2 linked regions of the Rattus norvegicus genome follow. The protein of the gene in region 1 purifies or fractionates together with the protein of each later gene. This does not show direct contact. Links are inferred from orthologs where the notes say so. Each region holds a gene or a part of one and is shown on either strand. Other genes may lie near its edges.

Region 1 (10,247 bases):
TGGCTCAGTTGACAAGTGAGTTGGCTCAAGGGTAAAGACCCTAGGCACTTGCTGATCCTGACAACTTGAGTTCAACCCCTGGGATTCATGCTGTTGACAGAATGGACAGACTCCTTGCAAGTTGCTTTCTGCCCTCTACAAATGCAATACATAAATAGAATGCAATTTATTTTTTTTTAAAAAGCCAAAGGTTGAATGAGAGGAGGCAAATGTGGACATGCACACCTTTAATCTCAGCACTCTGGAAGCAAAGGCAGGTGGGTATTTGTGAGTTCAAGGCCAGCCAGGGCTACACAGTGAGACCTTGCTTGCTTCAAACAAAACAAGTTATAAGGGGCCAAACAGTAGTTAAGAGTGCTTGCTGAAAGCTGGGCACACGACTTTAGTTCTAGCATTCAAAATGTAGGCAGATCTGAGTTTGAGACCAGCCTAACCTACAAGAGTTCCAGAACAACCAGAGCTGTTATGGAGGAGAAACTTTGTGTATCAGAGAAGGAGGAGGAGGAGGAGGAGGAGGAGGAGGAGGAGGAGGAGGAGGAGGAGGAGGAGGAGGAGGAGGAGGAGGAGGAGGAGGAGGAGGAGGAGGAGGAGGAGGAGGAGGAGGAGGAGGAGGAGGAGGAGGAGGAGGAGGAGGAGGAGGAGGAGGAGGAGGAGGAGGAGGAGGAGGAGGAGGAGGAGGAGGAGGAGGAGGAGGAGGAGGAGGAGGAGGAGGAGGAGGAGGAGGAGGAGGAGGAGGAGGAGGAGGAGGAGGAGGAGGAGGAGGAGGAGGAGGAGGAAAAAGAAGGAGGAAGAAGAAGAAGAAGAAGAAGAAGAAGAAGAAGAAGAAGAAGAAGAAGAAGAAGAAGAAGAAGAAAGAAGAAGAAGAAGAAGAAAAGCAACAACAACAAAAAAGAATGCTTGCTGCTCTTCGAGAGGACCCACATCTGGCAGCTTTCAACTGCCTGTAACTCCAGCTCCAGGAAATGATGTCCTCTTCTGGCCTCTGAAGATACTGTACTTAAGTACACAAACTCCCAGGTGGACACACACATATAAACATAATTAAAGGGCTGGAGAGATGGCTCAGCGGTTAAGAGCACTGACTGCTTCCAGAGGTCCTGAGTTCAAATCCCAGCAACTACATGGTGGCTCATAACCATCTGTAATGAGATCTGATGCCCTCCTCTGGTGTGTCTGAAGACAGCTACAGTGTACTCATATAAAATAAATAAATCTTTAAAAACATAGTTAAAACTAAAAGAATATCCAAGGCTATATAGATATAGACTCTGTCTCTAATTAAATAAAAAAGTAAAATCTTTTAGATAAAGCAAGATATAATAAAGCCATCTGGCTCCATGACCCAACAGATAAAGGTACTTGCCCCTAAGCCTGACAACCTGAGTTTGAGCCCTGGCACCAAAATGGTGGGAGGAGAGAACCATCTCTGCGGGTTGACCTCTGACTTTCAGGTATACATGCACACACAGCACTCAAAGAGATATAAAGAATAACTATAACCCAAGTGTGGTGACTTAGATCTATAATCTCAGCACTCAGGAGGCAGAAGCAAGTAGGCCTCAGAACAACCCGGTTTACAAAGCGGCACTGTGTGGAGTTTGTGTGCACACACATATCTGGTGGTGAAAATTAAGTCAGCCAACATTGGCAAAAAACAGAGTGTGACACTAAATCACCTGTCTTCTCCAGCCCTTCCAGTCTCCTTCAGAGACATTACTGTCTGACACTAAAGCGTTGGTGTTCCATCTTGTGTCCTTCTTTCTCAAGTCTCATCTACTCTAGCATGTTCTCTCTCTTCTTCCCTCCACCTCTGTTCTATTGTCATATATACACACATCCTACTGCCTGTTCCAAGTCCTGGGATTAAAGGTATCTGCCACCATGCCTGGCTTTGTTTTTATTCTTTAAGTTTTGTAGGCTGTCCTTGAACTCCCTCTATATCCCAGCAAACCTTGCGGTTTTAATCCTCCCACCTCAGCCAAGTAACTGAGATTACAGGCCTGTGCTACCAGCTCAGAGAGACAGAGACAGAGATGGGAAGGGGGAGAGAGATTTGTGTATATGTGTGTGCATGTGTGCAGGCACAGGCATCCTAGTGTCAGAAGAAAGTGCTGGCTCCTCTGGAGCTACAGTTACACACACAGTTTGTTTGGTTTTTGTTTTTTGTTTTTTTTTCAGAGCTGGGGATTGAACCCAGGGCCTTGCGCATGCTAGGCAAGCGCCCTACCACTGAGCTAAATCCCCAACCCCACAGTTTGGTTTTTGTTTTGATTTGTTGCTTTGTTTTTGTCCGCTTGGGATTCCAACTCAGGTTCTGTCTCTCTAACTGCGGTTGTCGACACACACACACACACACCCCTGCCCCCCCAACCCTGAGACAAGGTCTCACTCTAGTTCTGGAACGGACTGGGATTGACTATATAGCCCAAGATGGCCTCCAACTTGCAGCAGTTTCCTGCCTCTTAATTCTAAATACTGAAATTACAGGAATGAGCCACTGGGTTCTGGGTTGTCTCTGTCTTCAAAAGAAATAGTGACCCAAAGCTTTGACTGAAGGCGCTCCCCTTGCTCCCACTCTGGAGGAGAGGGTCTCCAGAGACATTCCAAACAAAAGAAGCCATTTGATCTTCAATTACCCACATCCCCACTTATCTGATCTGGGGTCTGGTGAAGGAGGACAGCAGGAACTAAGCACAACATCCCACACCTTTCCAGCACAGCCCTGCAGACTTCCACAAGGCGGCGGAAGCCACCCTGTCTCACAGCTATTGCCTCCTCTCACACGTGCTCCCCAGGAGAAAGGCCCCGCCCACTATGAGCTGGTACGGTCACCTGTGATCTAAGTTAGGTCATCCTGAGAAAGGCAGCCAGAACAGAACGGGGTCAGAAGCGTGAACGGGGAACTAGTCCTCTTTAACCAGCTCTTTGAAGCCAGCTACTCACAGGTGTGGACATGATAACCCATGACTGGTTTCTAACTCTGGGGAAAATGAGTCTGCATGCCTCACTCTACGGCAACACAAGCCACAGACCCTTTGTTCATGTGGACTTGCCCTCTTACACACCCTGTGGCCTTTCTTTATATTTTATAGTACTCCAGTTTAGGACGTTTTGGAAGCGTGATGTAAATATTAGTCACCTGAGGAGGTCCTCTTGCCAGGGACAAATTTCTTCTATGCCTGCTGACCTCTGGTGGTGAGATTTTGAACTGTAGGTTCCCTTCCCAGTTGTTGGCCGGTTGGCAAACATGCTATCTGGTACACACTTCTCAGCAATCCCAATTCAAATGTTGAAATTCTGTAGACAGTGAAAGTGTTTTTGTTTGTTTGTTTTTGTTTTTTTGTTTGTTTTTGTTTTTGAGACATAGTATATGTAGCCCTGGCTGTCCTAGAATTTGCCATTAACCAGGCTGGCCTTGAACTCAGATCCATCTGCCTCTCTAAGTGCTGGGGTTAAAGGCCTGCACCATGCCCACTATGGAAACATTTTTTAAAATATTTATTTATTTATTTATTTATTACGTATACATCATACAGCTTTCTGCCTGCTTGTACGCCTGCAGACCAGAAGATGACACCAGATCTCTTTACAGATAGTTGTGAGCCACCAGGTGGTTGCTGGGAATTGAACTTAGGACCTATGGAAGAGCGGTCAGTGCTCTTAACCATTAAGCCATCTCTCCAGAGAGAGAAACATTTCTTTAGCCTCTGAAGTTTGCATTTGTTTTAAGGCAACATTGTATAATACAGAGAACAGAGTGTGGGATTTGGAGTCATACATACCCAGGATAAAATCTCACTCTGCTTTTTTTTTTTAATATTTATTTATTTATTTAGTGTATATGAGTACACTGTAGCTGTCTTAGACACACATCAGATCTCATTACAGATGGTTGTGAGCCACCATGTGGTTGCTGGGAATTGAACTCAGGACCTCTGGAAGAGCAGTCAGTGCTCTTAACTGTTGAGCCATCTCTCCAGCCCAGGAGCATGTGTTCTTATTTTATTTCATTTGCTTGGGTGTTTGACATCACATGCACGCCTGTGCCCATAAAGGCCAGAAGAGGACATCAAATCTTTTGGAACCATAGTTACAAACAGTTGTGAGCTGCCATGTGGGTAAACCAAACATGATTCTTCCACGAGGGCTCCAAGTGCTTTTGATCACTGTGGCATCTCACCAGGTCTTCTCTGAAAAATTTCACATCCTTTCTGATTTTTGAGTTTGAAAAATGAGATCAACTTTGTGAAGTCTTCTCTGTTCAGGATGCTACAAATGAGTTCTCAATCCATGGGAACCATCTTGGGCAGAGCTGAGCGCCCAAAATATCTTTCTGAAAAAGACGGAAGGTCCAGCACCTTCTTCCAAGGTCAGTAAGGGATAGAGATTTCAGAATTAATTATCACAGGGTTCTCAGCAGGACAGCCAAGGTCCCTTCCTCCCTGCTCTGCAGAGAAGAGAGGAGGTAGTTGAAGAGAGAGATTGGTTCTCTGCTCCTCCCTTTTTCTCCCTGTTTTCCTCACACCCACCTCTCCCCCACAGCAGCCTTCTCCCCCACAGAGACTGGGATAGGGCAGAGGGGGGCGGAGTTGGGGATTGAGGGCTTGGAAGCCCCACAGTGCCCTGTATTTGTAGGAAGCGTTGACGAGGGTAGCTGTGCTGGTGTGTGCTGTCCTGCTGACATCCTTTAGTAGGATGCTGGGGACACTGGGGCTTTGGACACTGCTTCCTGCAGCTGCACAAGGTAAGTGTCTACAGAGAGGGGCAGGGTCTTTACACCACTCAGTAAGGGAAAGGTGTACTTGAAGCAGCAGCCACCCATTTGAAAGAGGCCAGGGGGCTGGGAGGAAAGGCAGAGCCCAGGTTCCCATGGTGGGGCTTAGAGCTCAGGCCTCTGCTGAGCCAGTGTCCTGTGGCTCTGCTGTACTGACCTGGGATCTAGACATCATGTTTTGTCTATGCTTGACTGCTATTTGTCCTTGCCTTCACTCCCTTCTTGACTCCCTTCACCTTGGGCTTCAGTATCCCCAAACAGGAGGACCTGTGTGTTCTTTGAGGCTCCTGGAGTTCGGGGAAGCACAAAAACACTGGGGGAAGTGGTAGATGCAGGACCAGGCCCCCCGAAGGGTATCCGCTGCCTCTACAGCCATTGCTGCTTTGGGATCTGGAATCTGACCCATGGCCGGGCACAAGTGGAGATGCAAGGTGAATGACAAAACACGTGGTGGGCGAGAGGCATGTCTAGGTTAAGGGAGGCAGCCAAAAGGAAGGGGAGAAGTGGAATGTGTAGAGGGGGGAAAAGGCATGTCAGATGCCTTTGACAGAGCCCGGATTTGTTCTCTGTCCCCAAACCTTATGGAACTCTCTTTCCTTTCCCTCCTTCCCCTAACCCCACCCCTTCAGGATGCCTAGACAGTGATGAACCCGGCTGTGAGTCCCTCCACTGTGACCCCGTCCCCCGAGCGCACCCCAGCCCCAGCTCCACACTCTTCACATGCTCCTGCGGTACCGACTTCTGCAATGCCAACTACAGCCATCTGCCTCCTTCAGGAAACCGAGGGGCTCCCGGCCCCCAGGAGCCTCAGGCTACCCCAGGTAATTGCCTTCCCCAGGTTACTAGAGCCCACTGGGGAGCAGAAGCATAGGTCAGGGTGAGAACCGGGGCCAGTTCTCACCCCACCTCCGCCCAAACTTTCCCTCCTCCTGGCCTTGGAAAGTTGGTTGCCCTGGTGACTGGGAGATAAGGGGGCTTGCGACCAGCATGGGGGTGGATTGGAAAGTAATCTCTTTGAAGAGGGGAGAGGTTCAGTGCTCACCCCCGTGTGCCGTGCCATCTTCCCTTGCTGTCCAGGTGGGCCCATCTGGATGGCGCAGCTGCTGCTGGGAGTGTTCCTTGTGCTGCTGCTGAGTATCATCATCTTGGGTACCGACCTCTCCCACCCCTCCCTTGTGATAGCATGACACTTGCCCAAAGGGCCAAGCCTCCTCTGGGCCCTGCTGAGCCCCCAGGTCTGGGATTTTCTTTTACATTTCCTTGCAAGATGCTCTCTTCCCACATAGCTCCCCTGGCTGTCTCCATCCTGTGCACCCTACCCTAAGACTCTTCTCTACTTCAGCCCTGTTACAACGAAAAGCCTGTAGAGTGCAAGGTGGGTCAGACCCGGAGCCGGAGCCAGGCTCAGGAGGAGACTGCAGTGAGGAACTGCCCGAGTTGGCTGAGCTGCGCTTCTCCCAGGTGCTCCAGGGAAGGAGGGTGGGCTCTTTTGGCACTCCTGGAGGTTCTGCTGGGGAGGAAGGCTGGCCCTGGCGCTAGCTCTGAGGCCCACACTCAATGCAGTGTCTCTACCAGGTAATCCAGGAAGGAGGTCATGCAGTCGTCTGGGCTGGGAGGCTCCAGGGTGAGATGGTAGCCATCAAGGCCTTCCCCCCAAGGGCTGTGGCCCAGTTCCGAGCTGAGCGAGCTGTGTACCAGCTGCTAGGCCTACAGCATAACCACATTGTTCGCTTTATCACTGCTGGCCAGGGAGGCCCTGGCCCCTTGCCCTCTGGGCCTTTGCTGGTACTGGAACTGTACCCTAAGGTGAGCATCAAGAAATCTCTGTAGTCTATATTATGCACTACTCCTATGGGGCGCTACATGACCACTGGGCCTTACTCATGCCTACTCTCCTGCCTTATACTTTCTTTTGAATACACACACACACACACACACACACACACACACACACACACACACACACCATTCTTTTTTTTTTTTTTTTGGTTCTTTTTTTTCGGAGCTGGGGACCGAACCCAGGGCCTTGAGCTTCCTGGGTAAGCGCTCTACCACTTGAGCTAAATCCCCAACCCCCACACACACCATTCTTGAGACAGTTTCTCAGTGTAGCCTTGGCTGTCTGTCTTGGAACTTGTGCTGTAGACCAGGCTGTCCTTGAACACACAGAGATCTGCCTGCCTCTGCCTCCCACGCACTGGGATTAAAAGCTTGTGCCACTCCTGCCTGGCTAGAAGAGGGCCATTGTTAAGTACACATCCAGGAATAGCTTTGTAAACTCATTCATATGTTCATTTAACCAATATTTATAAACTATGTGGCAAGCACTTCTAGATGCCGAGAGAAGCCCACATGGCCCCTGGTTTTACAGGCGTCATAGACTAATGGGTCATAGAAAAGGAAGTCGCAAATGTCAAGTATGGTGTGCTGAGAGCTGGGACAGGGCACTGGGAACAGTAAGAAATAATAATGATACAATTCAACCTGAGGGACGGTCGAGATGGCTCAGCTGGTGAAGATGCTTACTTACTGTGCAAGCCTTGGGGACCAAAGTTCAGTTCCCAGAACCCAAGTCAAGGGAGTAGAGAACTCTACAAAGTTGTCCTCTGACCACCACAATGCACTCAGATGTGGCTTTTAAAAAAGTGTATATAGGTGTTTCACCTGCACATATGTCTGTGCACTGTGTGCACACCAGGCACCCATGAAAGTCAGGAGAGGAAATTAGCTCTCCTGGGGCTTTCAGAATAGCTGGGTAATGGGAATTAAACTCCAGTCCCCTGGAAGAGCAGCCAGTGTAAGTACTGAACCATTTCTCCCAGTTTTAATAAAAAGAAAAGATGTATATAACCTGAGGTGAGAGATTAACAAGAAGATGCCAAGCCAAGCTGGATAGTAGGACTTGACTATAAGAATTCCAGCCTATGGGGGTTGGGGATTTAGCTCAGTGGTAGAGCGCTTGCCTAGGAAGCGCAAGGCCCTGGGTTCAGTCCCCAGCTCCGGGAAAAAAAAAAAAAAGAATTCCAGCCTATGGAGAGATGGCTTAGTGGTTAAGAGCACTGACTGTTCTTCCAGAGGTCCCGAGTTCAAATCCCAGCAACCACATGATGGCTCACAACCATCTGTAATGAGATCTGATGCCCTCTTCTGGTGTGTCTGAGGACAGCGGCAGTGTACTCATATATAATAAATATAAATAAATCTTTTAAAAAAAGTGAACTCCAGCCTAGCCTGGGTTACATATGACCCTGACTCAAAGAAATAAATCAGGCCTGAGCGCAGTGGGGCATACCCTGAACCCCAGCATTTGGGAGGCAGAGGCAGGCTTATCTATGTGAGTTCAAAGCCAGCTAAGGTTACAAAGTAAGACCCTATCCAAAACAAAACAAAGCCCCCCAAACAAAAGCAAATAAGGTCGACGGCATAGGCAGAGGTGAGACCACATGGAACCTGGGCCTGCTGAACACTGGGGTGCATTTGAAGTCCTAGGCGAGGCACTTTGAACCCATTCACGTGTTTTACTTTCAGAAGCACACCATCAGGTAGGAATTGTATTCAGAGACAAGAAAAGGAAGCTGGTTTGCTCTGGATATGTGATTTGAGAGTCTGGTTCCTCACTGAACTGCTGCTATCTCCTGTTTATCCAGTGTCAGTGCTGTCTGTTCCTTTGAGTGAGATCACCCTGTGCCTTTGCCCTGATTGTACGTCAGCTCCTAGCAAGCTTGAATGCAGTGGCTCTTTCCCAGACTTTACCAGCCTCTACAACTCCTTCATTGCTGAGGTCTTGAGTTCTGGAAAGTTCCCCCTTTGACCACAGTCCTCCTGGGTCTATTAAAGAATAAGTTTTCGGCCCTGGTATATAGCTTAGTCAATAAAGTGCCTGCTGTGCATGAGGGTCTGAATTCAGCTCTCAGAAATGCATTTAAAAAGCCAGATTTGGGGCAGGAGAGATGGTTCAGCAGTTAGGAGCACTGGCTACTCTCCCAGCACCTATGCCAGCTGTCATAATGGCCTGTAACTCCAGGGGATGCAGCGCCCTCTTCTGGTCTCCATGGGCACCTGCGGACACACACATAAGTCGCAATACCCATACTTTTTTTTTTAAAGTTTTTTTTTAATTTATGGGTTTGAGCCCCTCTCTCTTTTGTGGGTGTGTGCACATGGATGTGGGTGCTCTCAGATTAGAGGCCACAGTCCCTGCAGCTGGAGCTATAGGCAGTGTATTGTTGTGGGTCCTGGGAGCCTCTCTAGCCCCCAAAGTAAAATTAATGTTTGTTTGTTTGTTTGTTTGTTTGTTTGAGACAGGGCCTCTCTAGGTAGCCCTGACTATCCTGAAACCAGCCTGAGACCAGGCTGGCCTCAAACTCACAGAGATCCACCTGCCTCTGCCTCCAGAGTGCTGGTATGAAAGGCATGTGCTACCACATCCAGTTAAAACTAAGAGAAATGTTTAAAAAAAAAGAAAGAAAATACTAGAACTCCAGGGGTTGGGGGTTTAGCTCAGTGGTAGAGCGCCTGCCTAGCAAGCACAAGGCCCTGGGTTTGGTCCCCAGCTCCGAAAAAAAAAAAAAAATACTAGAACTCCAGTTGTGGTGGTGCATATCTCTAATCCCCGCACCCCTCTTCCCCCCTAAAAAAAAAAAAAGAAAAAGAAAAAAAGAAGAAAAATCCAGGCATTGTGGTACACATTTGGGAAGTGGAGATAAATTTTTGGCTAGGCACACGTGCTGTCAATCATGGGTGCTTTATAGCCTGACATTTAGTTCATTTTTTCTTTTTTTTTTTTTCGGAGCTGAGAACCGAATCCAGGGCCTTGCGCTTGCTAGGCAGGCGCTCTACCACTGAGCTAAATCCCCAACACCTAGTTCATCTCTATATTGTGGTATTTATTAAGTTCTCCGCTTCCATCACGCTCCCCTTTTCCTGAGGCACAGTGTTGCCTGGGCACACCCGAGCCATTCTAAAGGCGCTCAGCAGGTTCGTGAATGCGGTTCCCAGTTGCTCCTCTTCCATTGGCTCCACCCATCTAAGTCTGTGCAGCCCTGTTAGCCCAGGCCAGGTGGTTGGAGGGACAGACGCCCTTGACCAGCATTTGACAGTGACTCTCAGACAGACTGCTGACTCTCCTTGGATTACAGCTCCACTTGGGTTATCTGCCCTCAAGAAAGCTTACTCAGCATGCGCGAAAGCTCCACCTCCACTCCAGCGTGTGCTGCTGGCGGAGGCAGTAGGATCACTGCAAAGTTGATGGCGGTCTCCTCTTCTTAGTGACTTCCAAGTCAGCCAGGGTTGCATACATACCAGAGAGATCCTGCCTAAAAGGGGAAAGGGAAGGAGTAAAAGGGCCAGCGAGGTGGTTCATGGGTAAAGGTGCTTCCACCCCAAATGAAGGCCGGAGCCAGCCCCTTAGAGCTTCTACAGTGAAAGGAGAAAACCAACTCTAGCAAGTTGTCTTTTGACCTCCACACGCGCC
Region 2 (9,883 bases), on another chromosome or scaffold:
GGTCTAATTATCTGAATCAAGTCTGAACTTTAATTTCCTTTCACTTAATCAGATTTTTTTTCTTTTAAAAACAGGGCCTTGGGTAGAGAGATGGTTCAGCAGTTAAGAGCCTGACTGCTCTTCCAGAGGCCCTGAGTTCAATTCCCAGCAACCACATGGTGGCTCAGAACCATCTGTAATGCAATTCAATGCCCAGTTCTGGTGAGAAGTGACAGTGTACTCACATAAAATAAATAAATAAATCTCTTCAAACAAACAACCCCCAGAACAGGGTCTCACCATATCCCTGGCTGCCCTAGAATTCACCCTGTATCCAAGGCTCACCTGGAACTCACAACAATCTGCCTGCCTCTGCCTCTGGATTGCTGGGATTAAAGGTGAGGTTACTGTCCCAAGAAAGATTTTTGGTTTTTGAGATTGGATCTCCTGAAGCCTAAGCTGGCCTCAAACTCCTAGTCTCCCTTGCTGCCTGTACCCACCAAGTGCTGGGATGTCAGCCATCCAACACCTCCATTTCTGGCAGAATTTTCATCGTGATGGTCTAATTTATATACAAAGACCTGTTTATATATGACTCTTGCTTTCTGGCCAACCAGGAACAGGGACCTGTGAGTGTCTCTCCTTTGCTGCAGCTATGGTGTGGCCAAAGTGGCTGGTGTTTACAGTCGGTAGTTAGGGAACAGGAATGAAATAAACAAGGAACTGGACTTGAGAGCACAGACATGCTTGGCTCCTGGCCTGCCTTGGTCCCAGCCTGTAAGTAGGTGAAGGAATAGAAGCACAGGAGTGCACAACAAATGGCTGGAATCTCTGAGATCTCACTGCAACTCAGTGATGTTTGCAGCAAGGATTCCCACCTCTCAGCCCAGCCCAGAAACAGTCCTAATTCCCCCACCAGCATTCCAAAGAAACAAGATACACCACAGCATTCTGCTCTGGGAGAAGGCGGGCCACCGGGGACTCGAGATAGAGAAACAGCTCTAAGTAACTTGGGTTTGGGTATCTTTCCCAGTCCCCAGGGGCTGGACACAGCTGGTAATGCTTGGTGATGAGGTGGGAGGTCCCAGTTCCTGCCATTAGGCAGCTCGGTGTCAGGAGCCTAGTTGGGAACACACACACACACACACCACACAGGGTGAGGTGATGTGGAGACCCTACAAGAACCAAGGCAAGAGTGGAGGGAATCATTGCTTTCAAAGAAAGCTAGAGGAAACCCATGGTTTTGATGCCCTACCTTCCCGGAGTCGCCCCACCCCCCACCCCCGTCACTCCCCAACACACATTGCTGGCAATCCCAAAACTCACCTTGCTGGGAAAGAGGGGCTGAACAGAGGAGCTCCGCCCTCTCTGGCCTGGGGTCGGGACAGTGGGAGGGGGCGGGTGTCCAGACCCTTTGATGCTGTGTGTGGGCGTGTGGGAGACCCTCCCGATGTATGTCTATCATGCGCGTGCCCAGGCTAGGATAGACCGCTGCTGCTCTGGTGAATTGCCAAGCTGGAGGAGGAGGAGGGATAGAGAAAGGGGACTCCCCGGCTCCTCCCACCCACTCGTGAGTTTGAATGAGCGAGAGGGGGAGGGGCCACAGCGGGTAGGGGTTTTTATGCCCACCACCGCTCCGGGCTCCACGGATGGGGAACACCCCCAAATCTGCAGATCTTTATCGTTTCAGAAAGCCCCCTTTCTAACAGCTCCGGAAAAGCTGGGAAGGGACCCTTCCCAAGCCAAATGGAAAGCACTCTTCTTCCACCTGACCCCACCGCAAAATGCATCCCTTAATCTAAAATAATCCTGGCCCCAGGATGCATCGTGAGTTTCTAAAACCTGTATCAAAACATTGAGAGGGATGTGCGACCCTGAGTACCTCAAACTCAAAACAATGGACTCCTTCAAGCCCCAGCCGAAATTGAGAGGTTAAGGGGAGCTGGAAGAGGCTGTGGGCACCAGCCCCAGATAGTGAGGACCAGGAAAGCCGTGTCCAGTGCTTTCGGGGGTCCCCCTGGGGGCAGGGCTGCCAACGCTGTCGCTGCTTAAACATCAGCGACACCCAGAGGCGAAAAAAGGAGACATTTTTTAGGTGATGGATTCTGGACGAAGAGGGCTGCAGGAGTGGGAGTGGCGCGTGGTGGTGTTAGAGTATGAACTCCCCAGACTGTGTTAATCACCATCTGCTTCTGATCCTCACTCAAGGACGGGTCTGTAACATCTGGCACTACCAACCCTGGAGTTGAAACACTTCTTTCAACCCTAGAGCAGGGTTAAGTCAAGGGGCACTTCAAGCCTCAGTCTCCACTCCACTTGCCACTAAGAATAAAGACGTGAGTACAACACCTGGGATCATCATTGTGGAAGAAGTCAACTGACTCCCAGAAGTTGTTTTCTGACTTCAGAATGTGCACTTATAGAACTCGCCATCTTCCCCATAAATAAATAAATCTAATATTTGTTTTGAGATACCGTCTCTCTACAGCTCTGGCTATCCTGGTACTCACTAGGTAGACCAAACTGGCTGCCTCCACTTCCCAAGTGCTGGAATTAAAGGAATGTGCCACCACCGCCGACCGATGAGTGGAATTTCTTTTTTAAGTACCGGAGCTGATGAGATGGCTCAGCGGGTAAAGGTGCTGTCTACCAAAGCTGGACGACTAAAGTTTGATCCAAAGGGACCTCGAGGTAAAGAGGAGAACTAACTCCAGTAAATGATCTTAAGACCTTCACATGTGTACCCTGGTATTTGTACCTAACACACACACACACACACACACACACACACACACACACACACACACAGAGACTTCTTTTTTTAAAGGACTGGGGCCAGGGAGACGGCTTAGTTGATAAAGGTACTTACTACCAAGTCTGATGACCCACATGGTGGAACAAAACTGACTTCACCAAGTTGTTTTGATGTTCACAGGTGTACAAACACACACAAAATTAATAAAATGTAATTTAAAAAACCTACATATTTAGCTGAACATAGTGGTGCATGCCTTTAATCCTAGCACTCAGGGGGCAGAGGCAGGTAGATCTTTGAGTTTGAGGCCAGCCTGGTGTACAGAGCAAGTCCAGGACACCTGGTTACACTGAGAATCCATCTCAGGGAGAAAAATTCCAAACAAAAAAACCCCTCCAACTTATTTATTTTTTATTTTACGTGTATTGTGTCTGCATATATACCTGTGTGAGAGTGTCAGATCTCCTGGAGCTGGAGTTACAGACAGATATGAGTTGCTATATGGATACTGGAAATTGAACCAGAGTCCTTTGAAAAAGCAGCCAGTGCTCTTAACTGTTGAGCCATCACTTCAGCACCTAAGATGTAATTTAATTAAATATTTATTTGTTTATTTATTTATTTAGCTAGCCAGGTGGTCCTGCTGTATGCCTTTAGTCCCAGCACTTAATCTTCGGAGAATGAGGCAGTCACAGCTCTGAGTTCAAGGCTATTCTCCTCTATAGAGTGAGTTTGAGGAAAGTCAAGGCTACATAGAGTAACTCTGTCTCAAAACAAACAAACAAACAAACAAATAAATATTTTTTTAAAAATTAAGGGCAGGGCTGGAGAGATGGCTCAGTGGTTAAGAGCACCGACAGCTCTTCCAGAGGTCCTGAGTTCAAATCCCAGCAACCACATGGTGGCTCACAACCATCTGGAATGGGATCTGATGCCCTCTTCTGGTGTGTCTGAAGGCAGCTACAGTGTACTTATATAAATAAATAAATCTTTAAAAAAAAATTAAGGGCAGGTCTGGTGTAGTGGTGCACACCTTTAACCCCAGCATTGGGAAGCAGAAGTAGAAAGATCTGTTCATTTGAAGACAGCCTGGTCTACATAGTGAATTCCAGGACAGCCGGAGCTATACAGTGAGACCCTGTCTGGGGAAAAAAACTATTTAAGGGCAAACATCATTAAAAAAAACTATGCGTATTAATATTTTGCCTGCAAGTATATCTGTGTACCACATGCATGCTCGGTGTGGGTGAAGGCCAGAAGGGGGCGCAATATACCCTGAGATGGACTTACCAGATAGGTACGAGCCGCCATGTAGGTGAGGGAGGACCAGCCAGTTCTCCAAACCATTGAGCCATTTCTCCAGGCTCAATTTTGACTTATTTTTTTTTTAGAATGTTTGTTTGTGTAACAACCCTTACGGTCCTAGAAATCACTCTGTAGACCAGGCTGGCCTGGATCCGCCAGATTGCGTCCCCACTGCCCAGCCAATTTTGACTTTTTGACAGTCTCAATATGTACCCTGGCTGGACTAGAACTTGTAGAGAGCCACCTGTTTTCGCCCCTAGCATACTTGGATTACCGTGGGCCACCACGCCCAACAAGACTAACCTTTTGTCTCTAAAGGATGTTCAGTCTGGTTTCGGCGGGAACTTCCAGAAGGCCGCACCACGTACTCCTGGCCCTTTAAAGATGACCTCCGGTTGCCAATGCCGCCGACTCCCGTTGCTAAGGACGAACGTCATGCGCCGACGCTGGGGCGGGGCCGTCGTGCGCGGCGCCCTGGGCGGAAGCGGAAGGGGCGGGGCGGGGCGAGCGGACTCTCTAGCCCTTGTGGGTCCCTGTTCAGCGCCCGGCCGTGTGGAGACCCGGGAGCCAGTCCGGGCCTCCGAGGCGAAGATGGTGGACTACAGCGTTTGGGATCACATCGAGGTGTCGGACGATGAGGACGAGACGCACCCCAACATAGACACGGCCAGCCTGTTCCGCTGGCGGCACCAGGTGGGGCTGTGCGCGCTCATCCCCTTCCCCCCACTCCCGGGACCCCCCGCTCTAGAGTTCTGACCTCTTAGCCAGGCCGCCTGGCGTGGGGGGCGGGGGAGACCTCAGTTCTTGACATCCAGAGCCTCCTGTTCCACAATCTAGACTTTCCCCCTTTCTTTTCTTTCTTCTTTTTTTAAAAACAAAATCTCACTGGGTAGTCTTGCCTGGCCTGGAACTTGCTATATAGAAGAGGCTGGTTTCTAACTCACGGAGATCCTCTTGCCTCTGCCTTCCCAGTGCTGAGGTTAAAGACATGTGCCATCATGCTGGGCTGGACCTTTTAATCCCAGGACTCCTGGATTCTTCATTCTAATTCTTCATCTGTATCTCCGGGCTTTCTCTCTGTGCTGTGGATCTCTTCTGTTTGTACGTTTACTTATTGTGTGTGTGTTCTTGTGTGCACGTGGCACAGCATGCAAAGGAAGATTACAGGATAACTTGCAGAAGTTGGGCCTCTCTTTTCACTTCGTTGGAACTGGGTGTGGAACTCAGGTCACCCCGAGTTGCCACAAGCACCTGTACACTGAGTCATTTTATCAGCTCTTAATACTCTTTAGTCAGAGTCTAGACCCCACCCCACCTCCGAAGCTGACCCATGTGTGTAGGGTCCCCATCATCCTTTGTGGAACCTTTTGTTCTCAGAATTCTTCCTCAGAGTCTGGACCCAGGTTTTGTTAGGTGATCTCATATCCCAGCCATGCACCCACTTCTGATTGCACATCTCCGTTCTGCCTCTCCCCACCCCCTAGAGTCTGGATCCATAAAACTTCGTTCTGATTGTGGCATCTACTTCCCAGGATCTTAGGCACGAATTTCCATTAAGGCCCAGAGACAACCCCCCGAACCCCCAACCCCCTAACTTCCAAACTAAATGAGGGCTGTGCCCTGCTCTTAATTTAATGGTCAATCTTAGTTTGCAGCTGGGATTCCCAGTCCAGGATCGATTTCCCTGGGTTATAGACCAGAGCTACACTTGGGACTTCAGTGTTAGAGCCCCCTTAGCCTCTCTATTTGACCCCCAGCTCCACTCTTGCCCATCATCCAATTCTAGTGGCTTTCCTTATTTTCACCTCCTGTAGATTCTTATTTCCCCTTACTCCAGGAAACCCCACCCACTTAACTTCCGGTCAGAACCTCTGCTCCTAGTAGTATAGTAAGTAGACCCCCATTCTGCCCACATTGGCTCCTGTATGATTTGTAGCCATCATTGAATACTCACCAAACCGGATGGTGATGACACATACTTTTAATCCCAGCTCTCAGGAAGCAGAGGCAGGCGGGCCTGTGAATTCAAGGCCAGCCTGGTCTACAGAGAGTTCCAGCACAGCTAAATAGGGGTACTCTGTTTGGAGGCATGGAGTCCAGTGGCAGGATAGGACAGAGAAAGAAAGTGGGGGAGGGGAGAAAAGGGGGAAAGGAGAAGGAAAAGACAGCTCACCCAATCCCAACCCAGAAAACCAAACCCTTCCTGTCCTACCTGCCCTTCCTCTCCAGTTTCATTGGCCTCTCGAGGGTTCATATCATTCTATTTAACTCTGCACCTCCTGGATCTTGTTCCAACATTACCTTACTTTCTGAGCATTGTAGCACACCTGTAAACTCAGGTCTTAGGAGGTGGAGGTAGAAGGATCTGGAATTCAGAGTTAATCCTTGCTATAGGGCAAATTCTAGGCTATCCTGGACTACGTGAGACCCTGTCTCAAAAACCAAATGGGCTGGAATTCAGTTGTAAGCATTGCCTTGGGCTCCATCTGGCTTAAAAGCTAGCCATGGTGGGGCAGGCCCGTAGTCTCAGCACTGAGAAGATAGAAGCAGGAGGCTCAGAAGTTCAAAGTCATCAGCCACATAGTAAGTATGAGGCTGGCACGGGCTCAGGGAATCCTGTCGATCACTAGGCAGATAAAATAAAGTCCTACACAGTTTTAAATCTGCCCATAACAGATGCCTTAGACTGAGACCGTCAGATCCCCAAGTGTGAGCAAGCCATGCTCTTCCGCCTCTCTTGTGCCAGCATTGCCTGCAGGCCCATAGTGTACTACCTAGATGTAAGGGTGGTCTGAAGATGTAGTTGAGTGGTAGAGCACTCTCTAGCATGCAGGAGGTCCTGGGTTCCATCTCTAGCACAGCAGTAAAGAGACAGTGGCCTAACCTGCCCCCCAAATTAAAGCATCTGTACCCACATACCTGTGTGTCTTTACTCTGTCTAGGTTACATTGTATTTGTGTATGTTCATGCTCATGTATGTGTAAATGTGCCACGCTACCCTGTCACAGTCAGAGGATAACTTGCTGGAATCCGTTCTCTCCACCCACGTGGGCTCGGGATCAAACTCAGGCCGTCAGGGTTGGTAGCAGGCCTTCACCCACTGAGCTCTCTCATCAGCCCTGTGCTTGTTACACTCCCAGGCTGCTGGCAGGTACTCTGCAGTTAGCATTCCACCTTCCTGAGGAAAGCTTCTCCTCTTTACTCCTCGAAAGTCCTTCCCTATCCTCCCCAAATCCAGCAGTCAGCTCTAGTCCCACCTACACACCTATTCCTTCCAGTTTCCTGGGAAGACCGCCTGGCAGGCAGCAGTGCAGACCAGTACCTCACATAGCATTGTGTTAGGAAGCACTGAAGAGCCGCGCACAGCTGGAGAATGGTTATTCTAGGGAACACCTATTTCTGTTTATGAAGAGGTTTGGCTTCCTCCTGGGTGGGAGGGAGGCCTCCTGTGTACTGGTGCAGACCTCGCTTCCTGTCTTGCTGCCATACCTGTAATACTGAGGAGAGAAGTGGGGCCTTCTGCCCTAGCCCACCCCAGAGACAGGCAGGCTCTGGTGTACATTCTAACTGTACCATGTTCCGTGTCCATCTGTGAGGGGCTGGCTTCATAAGTTCTGAGTACAGAGACTTGACAGCTCATATTTCAGGTCTGTGGCCTTGCTGTGCTCTGACTTGGAGGGCTCTGGCTGGCTGCTCTGGGCCTCAGGTCTTCTTGAGAATGGGAGTAGAACCCAGGTGCTCTATACAGTTGCTCTGTATAGTTTCCCAGTATTTAACTGATTCCCTTGAGGAACAGTTCTGTCTCCACTGCTTAGGTGCCTTGTGGTTTGAAGACGGATGTGACAGTGCATGTCTATCATCCCAGCACTTGGGAGGGAGGCAGAAGAATCAGGAACTCAGAGCTACCCTTTGCTACATAGCAAGTAGCGGCCAGCCTGGGCTACACGAGCACCTATGTAAAAATCACACAATCACCAAGCCTGATGACATACCTGCGTTTGATTCTTGGTAGTCACATGGTAGAAAGAGAGAAGTGACAACTACAGGGTGTCCTCTGACCTCCACATCCACACTCTGGCACACATCTGTGCCTGCCACCGTGCACAAAATAAATTAAAATTTGAAATTAGCCAAGCAGTAGTGGCATACACCTTTGATCCCAGCACTGGGGAGCTGTGGTGAATCTGTGAGTTCGAGGCCAGCCTGGTCTACAGAGCGAATTCCAGGTCAGCTAGGGCTTCACAGAGAAACACTATTTCAAAAAATACAAAAATAAATTAATAAAAATAAAAATTAAAAAAACTGGCTTGGCCTGGTGTCACAGGCTTGTGTTCCAGCTCCTGGGGATGCTGTGGCAGGTCACAAGTTCAAGGCCAGCCTCAGCAACGAAAGGAAACACCAGGTCAAACTATGAAATATAAAGGGGTGTGTGCAGCTTGGTAGCAGGCCACTTGTGGAGCAAGTGTGTGGCACTGGGTTCAGTCCTGGGTAGGATCCTATGAGGAAAGAAAGATGGGAAGGTTTGGGAAGTGGGCAAGCAAGCACTGTGTGGTATCAGAAGTCTGAGAACCTTAGTGTCCCCTCTGTGAGGGACGCCAGGCCAGGCTGCTGTCACCAACACCATAGTCCCTGTTTTTAGCTTCAGCTTCCCTGGCATCTACTCAGAGGACACTAGGGAGAGTGGTGGCGGTCCTCCAGAAGCCAGCAGCTTGGCAAGTTCCTGCTCTTTGGAGCCAGTGAGTGCTGACCTTAGAGCCCCTAGGACAGGCCAGGGCTGCTGCATCTAAGGACTTGTCCTGTATGCACACGAGGGGGTTCACATGCAGAGGACACAGGGGGAAACAGGTGCCCTGCTTCCCCAACTCTGCTCATTCTCTTGAGTCAGGGTCTCTCACTGATCCTGGAGCTAGGCTGGGGGCCAACAGGTCCCAGTCATCCTCCTGTCCCCGCTCCCTACAGTACTGGGGTTATAGGCAACACAGTCTGTTTTTGAGTGATAAGTCTCATGTTTTCACAAGCACTCCTCCTTGTCTTCCCTGGGAGCCATGCCTGCTAACACAGTCCCACTGTACATTCCCTGTACAGTCTACCCTCCAGTGCTCCTTACTGTAATTGTCTTAGGTAGGGTCTTATTGCTGTGAACAGGCACCATAACCAATGCAAGTTTTATAAAGGACAACATTTAATTTTTGGGGCTGGCGTACAGGTTCAGAGGTTCAGTCCATTATCATCTTGGTGGGACCATGGCAGCATCACAGCATCCAGCCAGGCATGGTGCTAGAGGATCTAAGTTCTACATCTTCACCCCAAGGAAGCCAGGAATGACTGAGCATCCTCAGGCAGCTAGGAGGAGGGCCTCCAAGCCCACCCCCACAGTGACACACTTCTTCCAACAAGGCCACACCTTTTAATAGTGCCACTCCCAGGGGCCAAGCATATGCTTGATTTTTTTCTTTTCACTAATTGTGTTTGTGCTATAGATGTGTTTTTACACATGTACCCAGAATGCATGTGTGGAGGACAGCTCGAAAGAGTCAGGTCTCTCTTTCTATCATGTAGTTCTCAGGTATCAAACCCAGGTCATCAGGCTTGACTGCACATTCCTGCTGAACCCTTTCGTCCCAGTGCTTTGATTTTTCTCCCCATATGCAAGCACTCATGTGTGTTGGTTCTACTTTTCACTCGTGGTACACTGTTCAGTAAATGTCACCAGAGGCAGATGAACTTACACATGTGAAATCTCAGTACTGGGAAGGCTAAGGAGGATCATCTGCGTCTAGGAGCTAAGGCTAGGCTGCACCACATGCAAGAGCCTGTCTCTGAATGAGTGGATGAGTGGATGAC

What was found.
Region 2: the proteins of Amhr2 (region 1) and Cdc37 purify together in Homo sapiens (co-immunoprecipitation; 3 studies listed by BioGRID and IntAct, with this or other methods). This does not show direct contact. The link is inferred for Rattus norvegicus from reciprocal best matches to the Homo sapiens genes AMHR2 and CDC37.

The regions. Positions count from the first base shown.
Region 1 is NC_086025.1:135,453,678-135,463,924, forward strand, and holds the start of Amhr2 (anti-Muellerian hormone type-2 receptor precursor), read left to right. Parts: upstream 1-4,244; 5' UTR 4,245-4,369; exon of another isoform or gene 4,370-4,635; 5' UTR 4,636-4,695; coding exon 4,696-4,744; intron 4,745-5,022; coding exon 5,023-5,205; intron 5,206-5,403; coding exon 5,404-5,595; intron 5,596-5,851; coding exon 5,852-5,923; intron 5,924-6,116; coding exon 6,117-6,235; intron 6,236-6,349; coding exon 6,350-6,580; intron 6,581-7,757; exon of another isoform or gene 7,758-10,089; intron 10,090-10,247. UniProt on the Homo sapiens protein: On ligand binding, forms a receptor complex consisting of two type II and two type I transmembrane serine/threonine kinases.
Region 2 is NC_086026.1:27,961,568-27,971,450, reverse strand, and holds the start of Cdc37 (hsp90 co-chaperone Cdc37), read left to right. Parts: upstream 1-4,520; 5' UTR 4,521-4,630; coding exon 4,631-4,732; intron 4,733-9,883. UniProt on the Homo sapiens protein: Co-chaperone that binds to numerous kinases and promotes their interaction with the Hsp90 complex, resulting in stabilization and promotion of their activity. Inhibits HSP90AA1 ATPase activity.